Linked DNA regions of Daphnia pulex. The protein of the gene in region 1 interacts with the protein of each later gene in a pairwise test. Links are inferred from orthologs where the notes say so. Each region holds a gene or a part of one and is shown on either strand. Other genes may lie near its edges.

Region 1 (4,419 bases):
GGAAGAGCTCAGACGGTAATTTACCATATTTCAATTTGCAGTACGTACATTTAAGATTTTTTTTAAATTTAATTTTCAGATTCGGAACTGGCACGTTGACGCGAGTTTTCATTCAACGAGTATTCGAGGAGTGCATGACCTATGAGAAAGAAATGGATTATAAAACGTACTTGGATTTCGTATTGGCCATGGACAATAAAAAGGAACCACAAGCACTTCAGTATTTTTTCCGTTTGTTGGACGTCAATCATCGAAACCATCTCAACACTTTTGACCTCCATTTTTACTTCAAAGTATTAATTTCCTCATTTGACCTTTTGACTTTCTTATCTTGAAAAAAAAAAAAATGCTTTGCAGGGGGTTCAAGAGTTGATGCAGCAGCACAAACAAGAAGTCGTTGCTTTTGACGACGTCAATGATGAGATTTTCGATATGGTGCGTCCTGCCGATCCGTCAAAAATCACTTTACATGATTTGATTAACTGGTAACACACAAAGTTCATTTAGAATTTTTTTAGAATAAGATTGTCATTGAACGTTTTCTGGCTCAGTGGATACGGTGAAACTGTGATCAATATCTTGATTGATTTGGATGGATTTTGGACATACGAGAACCGTGAAGCTGTTGTCGTAACAGACAAGAATAACCAAGAGAAACAGGACATTTGAATTTGGAATTCTTGTACATAGAAATTGTGAGTGTATTTTTTAAAAAAAAGCAAAGAAGTAGCAAGATCGCGGAATGGATTGTAGGTGCGATCTCATCACCATTTCCCTCTTTTGGACCAGTCTTTCGGTGTCCAGTGCAAGCATTTGGGATCGATGTGTAATTTCCATTTCTCTTTGTTTTTTATGCAATTTTTCATCGCTTCTTCGTTCAGAATGAGTACGTACTGCCCCTTGTAGTAATTGATGAGGTTCAAATGCTGTAAGGTGGACACCACGTCCTCTTTTTTAATGCTCGTCATTTCGCAAATTTCGCTATTTAAATTAAAACGAATTCGTTTGTCAACGTGAGCTCTAGAATGAAGTAATTTACATCACTTACTTGATGGTAATTTGAGGACGTTCACCTTCACTGGATGGTTTCATATTCATCAGAATATCACAGATTGTAAAAGCCCAGTAACTGCGATAAGACAGCAACCCTAAATCGGACAGAGGTTTTTCTGGCGAGCCCGTTTTGCCTTCGAACTTGGACAGCTCGTAACCTTTACGTAAACAAAAATGGTTTTAAAAAAATATTTCCCCTTGGGTTTACGATTCTGTACGCACTGAATTCAATAAGAAGTTTTCCATATCCTTTCCGTTGATAGGGTGGTAATGTTAAGATGCAGGCGACATTGTAGTCCTCCGAGCTTTCTTTCTCTTTGCTAAAGTAGCCGACGATATGAAAACCTCGTGCATCCACTTCAGTCATGACGTAAAAGAGGAACGGATCAGTGTCGTAATACAGTGTCTTGTGATCAAGGAACAGTTTCGCTAGCAGGCATAGGTTCTGAGCGTATGCTTTATTTTTACGGCCGTCGATTTCAAAAAAAGAAATTGTCTGTTTGCGGTAAACTTCATTGCCTGGCGGATGTCTAAGATTGCACTTCATCTGTAGAAAAAGTTTAAGGGTTGATCATCCAATTAAAAATATATCGTAAAATTTTAAATTACCAGATGACGTTCTAGACATTTTTCACTTTTCCGGTACTTGAGACAAAACTCGCATATGTAAATACAAGCTTGGTGAACCATTTCCTAATTTTTGAAAAAGAATAGTAAACATTTCGGATCTTTACGTTCGTTAGATGATGACATACCTGAGGGTAGGGTGCGAAATACCAAGGTTTTATTCTGTGTCTGCCGAGTTCAATCATTTGAATATTTTTCATTCGTGTTACAACGTCATCGTGATGTGTAACAAGACTGCCCGACTGACGTGGCCCTGGTGTAGTCGGTGCAGGGGTGGACGGTGGGGCCGGAGAGTTAGCATCTCCTACCTCACAAACTGAATCACCTATGCAGAAAATTTTAGTTTTAATAATCATTTATATATAATAAATAGATTGTAGAAAAAATGACTAATTACTTGTAGGAACAGCACAACTATCGCTAACTACGGTGGGTGGCAGAGTGGGGATTGCTGGTAATTCTTTTTCAATTTCTATAAAAATAAAATTTAAAAGAATTTATGAAAAATGTAAAGAATTAATGAAATAAAATAACTTTACTTATAAGTTTCTTGGCAGGTGGGATTGGAATAATGGATCCTGGACTGGGCTCTTCTTTTTCTCCAATTTTACGTTTTCTTCCATTTCTCTTTTGTATTGCTGCAGCCAGTAGAGCAGACCCATTGACAGTAAGGTCTGATGCACTGGATGCAGCTAGTGGGGAAGAAGGACGGGAAGAACCAGTTGTTCCTCCAACTTTTTTAGGAGTACTCATGCCTGTGCCTACTTGAGTTCCATCTTTTCTAGGAAACTGAATTTTTCTCGTATCTAAGAAATCTTCTGAGACCCAATCATCAAGTCGTTTGTTGACTAGAGTTGAATTAAAAATTTTGTAAGATGATGTATCGTTAAACATAGCATATACAAAACTTACAGTCGATGTAATGGACATAAAACATCCTGATGTTGCAGATATCTTTGACACTGAGTACTTCGGCTAGAGCTAAATGATAACAAAAGAAAAACCACAATTAAACTTTCAAATCTATAAAATGATAACAAAGCAACAAATGTTACGCCAGTCTTCGGTGTTTCTCATCCGTACAGGCAACCGACAGCCTTCAACAACAGATGCCTAGATAATAGAATAAACAAAATTAAACATGGTTTCTAATGAAATAATGTAAAAATTCATACAGTTGAATCTGAAAACAGATCTTTATCTACAATCTCTTCTTTCATTTTTGACAATGACTGTTCGGTCTTCATTAGAGAAAAAGCTTTCAAAACAACAGTGCGCGGCCATGAGCGACATTGCCGCTTTTGCCGGTTGGAAATGGTAGTCTTCTGCTAGCTCTCTCACAAACTGGACCGATCAGTCCCATTTCAAATTGTAAAATGAAATTTCGGTTATGAAAATTCTCGACAAAATTTAAACCATAAAAGTGCAAAAATGTCACAGTATGGATTTGTTGCTATTCATCTTGGAGCAGGCTGCCATAGTTCAAAATCTGAAGCTATTTACAAAAAACTTTGCAAAATAACGTGTGAAAAGGCATGGCTTTCTATTAGTGATTCATGGTTTCATAGTTTGACTTGATAAGTTTTTCCCAGGGAGCAGCTTTATTGCAAGAAGGAAAATCTGCACTAGATGTTACGTGTGAATTGGTTTGCATATTAGAAGATTCACCACTAACTAATGCAGGATATGGCTCCAATCTCACTGAGAGCGGTGAAGTTGAATGTGATGCAGGAATCATGTTGTCTTTGAAACATCAAAGAAACACACGATTTGGAGCAGTCTCATCACTTAAAAGTATTAAAAATCCTATAATGGTAGCCAAAGAAATCATTTTATACCAGAATGAACCAAGACTTCTTGGTAGAACACCTCCACTGTAATTCAAAATACCATTTGCATCACTTAAAATGAGTGGTTAAATTAACACAGCCTTTTTTTTAGTGTTCTAGTAGGAGAAGGAGCGTCTGATTTTGCTAAAAACCGAGGTTTGAATCTTGTTCACAATAGCACTCTTATATCTGACAAAGCCATGAGAAAGTATAAGAAATATAAAGAACGGCTGGAAGTATCCAGAAAAGCTTTATCAAGTGGGCTAAAGATCACAGTGCAGCCAAACCCAAGTCAAGTAATATATTTGGTTTCCTAAAGTAATGTTATCCAAATATCATGGTTATTTTTTAAATCTAGGATACAGTAGGAGTAATTTGCATAGATACGAATGGTGACATTGCAAGTGCATCGAGTTCGGGAGGAATTGCTATGAAGCTTCCCGGCCGAGTTGGACAGGTTTTCCTTTATTCCTTCTTGTCATTTTAGTAGTCATTTACAATGTGTATATTGCGATAGGTGCCAGTTTACGGCTGTGGTTGTTGGGCGCAGCATTCCAGCTCCGGTGGTGTTGCTGTGTCAACTTCTGGTTGTGGCGAGCAACTCATCCAAACAACCTTGGCCAAGAAGCTTGGTCAAACCATATTAGAGCGAGGAGATCCGGCTTTCCACTTGAAAGAGCTCATGTGTGACGAGTTCATCCATTCAGAAATGCTGTCTGATGACGTCTATGACCGGATGGGTGGTGTTCTAGTGGCGTATTATAGCGAAGATTCGATAGATTTCAACATGGCCTTCACAACTGATTCGATGGTCGTCGGTTTCATGAGCACTAACCATGAAAAGGCTATTGTTCGGGTGTCTCGAAACACGTCGCTTGCGACACCGACAAATGCAAATAACTCATCACAT
Region 2 (4,292 bases), about 8.1 Mb from region 1:
AGCTAATAAGAAATCGGCCACCATTCGTGGTTTTGACATAACTGACGATCGCCTCAAAGCGTACGGCATCCGAAACCCCAAGAAATTCAAGAATGCCATTATATTCGGAAATTTGAAAAAATCAAAAGACTAACGGGGTTGGGACTTGGGAGTCAGATTTTGTCAGTAATTGTATTTGGTTTGATTGAGTGGATATTTCGAACGTTCTATCAATAAAAAGACTCGTGTTCCAATTCTTTGAAAGTTGCGGGTTCAAATAAAAATGTCTTCCAAAGAAAGAAAATGAGAGTATAAATTGATCGATAATGACGCTGCGCTCCTCATCTGATAACCTACAGCCAACGGTCTGTAACACGTGGGTCACTTATCTTTCTCGTCGAATAAAAAAACGCACATGAATTGAAATTGAAGGCCTTCTAAACAAATTTACCCAACAAAATCTTAAAAATTTGCAATGCTACTATAATCTCCATGCGAGAGAAGGAAAAGGGGATGACAAGGTCGACATTAAAAAAAGTTTTCGTGAATAAGTAAAAAATCTTCAATTGTCGCAGCTATTTATGTGCAACAGGTCACATTGGCTTACAATCTTTCGTACATTTCATAGAAAATTAAATTACCAGAGTATGCACAACCTCGCAAAAAAAGTCGTTTAAGTGTTTTTTCCTACCTTCGTAATGGTCACACGTGGGATTTGATGTTATCATGTTGAGGGTCGGCGGTTTGGTCGATTATGGTGTTTTGTCCCCAATTGTTCGGCAATGTTCTTTTCAACTGCTTACGAGATCGATGATTCACAATTCACAATCACAGGAAATGATTATGGCAATAATTATTCAGTCAGAGTTCACAGTCGCGCTATACACACTTTCAAATTCTACTGCCAAATTGTTGAGCATCCGACCTCGTGGGCCGCACGAGAACAACTAAGTTTTTCAAGGACCTTGCTGCCCTTTCAATAGGTAGGGTCATTTGCATATTTTTCTCAATTTGAACGTAAAAAAAAATTTCTTCGATTTTCTCCTTTCCTCCTTTTCTCCTACCTTACCCCGGTCCCCGGCCTTAAGTCCATTAATATTTCAAAACATGCACTCCGATAGACTGTATAAAACAGTATGGCAACATTCGAGTGTTTTGATTTTGAAGAACCGCTTTTAGAAAGGACAAGGAAGGGAGCTAGCGACATCTCGTCACAACAAATTTAAGTTCGTGATTAACCAATTAAAGATTAGAGATGAGAAAATTGGATGAAAATTAACTTGCTGGTTACTCTGGATTCCATTGGGAAATTAGTTTTTAAATAAATTGCTGCACAAACAAGACAAACGTGGGAAGTTAGGAATTTTCGGAAAGAAGTCGACCCAACATAGTTCATGTTCATGCCGCTAGGCTAAGCCCAAACCTACACGCTGTACACTAACTGGCCGAAACTCGTGTTTTCTTTTACACTGTGTACACACACTGCCAGATACTGACTCGTTGGAATAGGTGGAGGAGATAAAATGGCTGAGGAGAATGTCGAATACGGTTGCGAACATTATAAACGAAAATGCAAATTAGTGGTAAGTAGTTCGACACTTTGTTCTTAACCAAGTAATGTTGTAACTCAAGTTGGTCGGGAAATAACTGTGGGCACAATGTCTGAAAAATGACCATGATATCTCCTCGTGAAGATAATGCGGTTTTATAGTAATCCTGTTTAAAGTTGTATTGAGAAGTTAAATACTTAATTATTTATTATTTTACTAAACAATAATTTTGTTTTGTAGACACCATGCTGTGACAAAGTTTATACTTGCCGTTTTTGTCATGATGAGAAGGAGGAACACACCCTTAACCGAAAAAATGTGGATGAAATTATGTGTTCATTGTGTGAAACAAAACAACCAGTTCAACAAAACTGTTCCAATTGTGGTATCCTCTTTGGACAGGTAAAGTATCAGACTTTTTTCTTTTCTTTTTTTTTTCAAAATAAAGAAACCTTGATTTTGTTTTGCAGTATTTTTGTGGAAAGTGCAAGTTGATTGATGATGAAGATAAAAAGCAGTATCACTGTGAAGGATGTGGTAATTATTATTACATTTTAAAACCAATTATATTTAATCTTTGGTGACAACTCCTATATCTTACTTTTTCAGGAATATGTAGAGTCGGAGGAAGGGACAAGTTTTTCCACTGCCAAACATGTGATATGTGCTTACCAAAAAAACTTGAAAATCAGCATAGAGTAAGCATTTTTGTGGGATTCTAATTTATACATAAATTATTTTGGTTTTTAGTTCATTCAATTAGTTATTTTTGCTCTGTTACAGTGCGTTGAAAAGATGAGCCGAACAAATTGCCCAATTTGTTTGGAGGATATTCATACATCAAGAATTCCTTCACACATCCCATCATGTGGTCATCTGATTCACCGAACATGTTTCAATTCATTTATTCATCGTGGTCACTATGCCTGCCCAGTTTGTCAACGTTCAATGATGCCGATGGAATCGGTACTAAAATTTAAATTTATAAAACGAATTATAACGTTACCAATTGTGTTTCCATTCTAGTACTGGCGCATTTTAGACGATGAAATTGCCTCAACCCCAATGCCAGTGGAATATCAAAATTTTTTTGTCACGATTTTATGTAACGACTGCCATCAGGTTAGTCATTTCTCGGCACTAAAGAGTTTTTAAAATGTTATTATAATTAACAATTTTTTTGCAGTTTTCTGAAGTTCCAATGCATCCCCTTGGAGCGAAGTGCCAAAATGCACCATGTGGATCGTACAATACGTGCAGAAGCGGTGGTCCTGTTAATAGACCTGGTAATTATAATTTTATTAATCTAGAGGAACTGCGTACCACAAATCAACTTTTTCTCTTTTTTTTTAAGCAGTCAGAGAACAATCTCCTAACTCGGAATAAATGGCCATGATTATCAAGGGAATAGGATGTTGTTTGTCATTTACTTGGACGGCGGTTTTATTCTGTTGACATGCAATAATTTTATTGGCCATCTACTAAATGGTCGAGTTTGTATTTTAAAGGCTTTTAAATTTTCATCCGTGAATCTTCCACCTTATTCGGCGGTAGGCATCTGGAGCCTGTTCGTGAAATTGGATCGAAAGGTTTTGTGAATTTTTTTCTTATCGTTCAAGTTACTCGTACCCCGTCAGCCATCCTGCTGATGTTTGATACCTGTTTTGTTGCCCTTACCTCGTTGCAGTGGCTAAATTGCCGTCATATTGTAATGCACCGTAGTGAGTAAAAAAAAACATCAGACAAAAACAATGGGTAACATTTAGAAATGACTCCTCGAGTAGTTTGAAAATGGACACTGCCAGAAAAGTTCATATCCGAAATTATGAAGATTCTTCTGTGCAGCTTGTGAGTTTCTTGTAATTTTACATGTCATATTATTACAATTGATTAAGCACTTCTCTTCAATTCTATGTGGAATGTACCTTCTGAACATTTTCAAATAACAATTCTGTATAAATATACGTTGTTACCTTATTCACTGGCCTTAAGCAGTAATTAGATCGTTATTTAATTCTGGATGGCAACAACATACACACGCACACACAAAAAAAAAATTAACAGTGAAGGATTGGGCAAAATGCGTAGGGGATCTTATTAGGAGACCGGTTCAAACGGTTCGGCTATACGGTATACATGTACCAATTGATTATTAGGATCTCCGGGATTGGGTTCTGCCACCAACACTAAACTACCGGGTTCAGCTTGAGCAAACGCGGGATTGGCTTCTGCAAGAGCTGGAGGGACTAGAAAAGATGGAGCCTGGTTAGGAGTTCCAGGAACTTCAACGACGGTTAACCCACCTTGTTCTAAACCAATTTGTCCAAGGGGAGAATTCAGCAAACTGTCGAGTGGAATATTTGAATTTGGAGCAGTAGGGTTAGCATCCTTCGAACAATTTGCTGGTTCCAAAGCATCATTCTCAGTTGGGTTTGCTGGTTGTTCGTCGTCATAATCAAGAGGCTTTACATTCTTTCGTCGCGTTATTTTACCAGATCGGGATCCAATAGCCGTCTTTCGAGCTCTTGTAGACACTCGAGATTCAGTGGCTTTCCCCTTCCGGCCTTTTTTCGCAGGGGGTGCTATCTCTTCTCCAGATTCTTCGTTTGTTGTTTTCTTATCCGACCTGATAGATTCAATTGAAACTACATCCGAATCAGACTCATTCGGATTTGGTTCTTGGATGCTCACTGTTTTCTTACAGTGGAGTGGATTATTTGAAATTGGAGCAGCAGGGTTAGCATTCTTCGAACTATTTGCTTG

What was found.
Region 2: the proteins of histone acetyltransferase Tip60-like (region 1) and RING finger and CHY zinc finger domain-containing protein 1-like interact in a two-hybrid assay, tested with the Homo sapiens proteins (2 studies listed by BioGRID). The link is inferred for Daphnia pulex from reciprocal best matches to the Homo sapiens genes KAT5 and RCHY1.

The regions. Positions count from the first base shown.
Region 1 is NC_060018.1:12,585,967-12,590,385, reverse strand, and holds histone acetyltransferase Tip60-like, read right to left. Parts: upstream 2,979-4,419; 5' UTR 2,928-2,978; coding exon 2,856-2,927; intron 2,794-2,855; coding exon 2,736-2,793; intron 2,662-2,735; coding exon 2,593-2,661; exon of another isoform or gene 2,529-2,592; coding exon 2,220-2,528; exon of another isoform or gene 2,153-2,219; coding exon 2,078-2,152; exon of another isoform or gene 2,006-2,077; coding exon 1,809-2,005; exon of another isoform or gene 1,747-1,808; coding exon 1,663-1,746; exon of another isoform or gene 1,601-1,662; coding exon 1,276-1,600; exon of another isoform or gene 1,212-1,275; coding exon 1,049-1,211; exon of another isoform or gene 982-1,048; coding exon 765-981; 3' UTR 678-764; downstream 1-677. Other genes in the region: serine/threonine-protein phosphatase 2A regulatory subunit B'' subunit gamma-like, read left to right, coding at 1-15, 80-293, 358-485, 552-669; threonine aspartase 1-like, read left to right, coding at 3,112-3,213, 3,273-3,556, 3,622-3,805, 3,868-3,966, 4,027-4,419. UniProt on the Homo sapiens protein: Catalytic subunit of the NuA4 histone acetyltransferase complex, a multiprotein complex involved in transcriptional activation of select genes principally by acetylation of nucleosomal histones H2A and H4.
Region 2 is NC_060018.1:4,447,289-4,451,580, forward strand, and holds RING finger and CHY zinc finger domain-containing protein 1-like, read left to right. Parts: upstream 1-1,400; 5' UTR 1,401-1,502; coding exon 1,503-1,562; intron 1,563-1,769; coding exon 1,770-1,931; intron 1,932-1,999; coding exon 2,000-2,066; intron 2,067-2,138; coding exon 2,139-2,227; intron 2,228-2,312; coding exon 2,313-2,495; intron 2,496-2,555; coding exon 2,556-2,651; intron 2,652-2,715; coding exon 2,716-2,815; intron 2,816-2,883; coding exon 2,884-2,915; 3' UTR 2,916-3,506; downstream 3,507-4,292. Other genes in the region: protein KRI1 homolog, read left to right, coding at 1-133; transcription factor TFIIIB component B'' homolog, read right to left, coding at 3,627-4,292. UniProt on the Homo sapiens protein: E3 ubiquitin-protein ligase that mediates ubiquitination of target proteins, including p53/TP53, TP73, HDAC1 and CDKN1B. Mediates ubiquitination and degradation of p53/TP53; preferentially acts on tetrameric p53/TP53.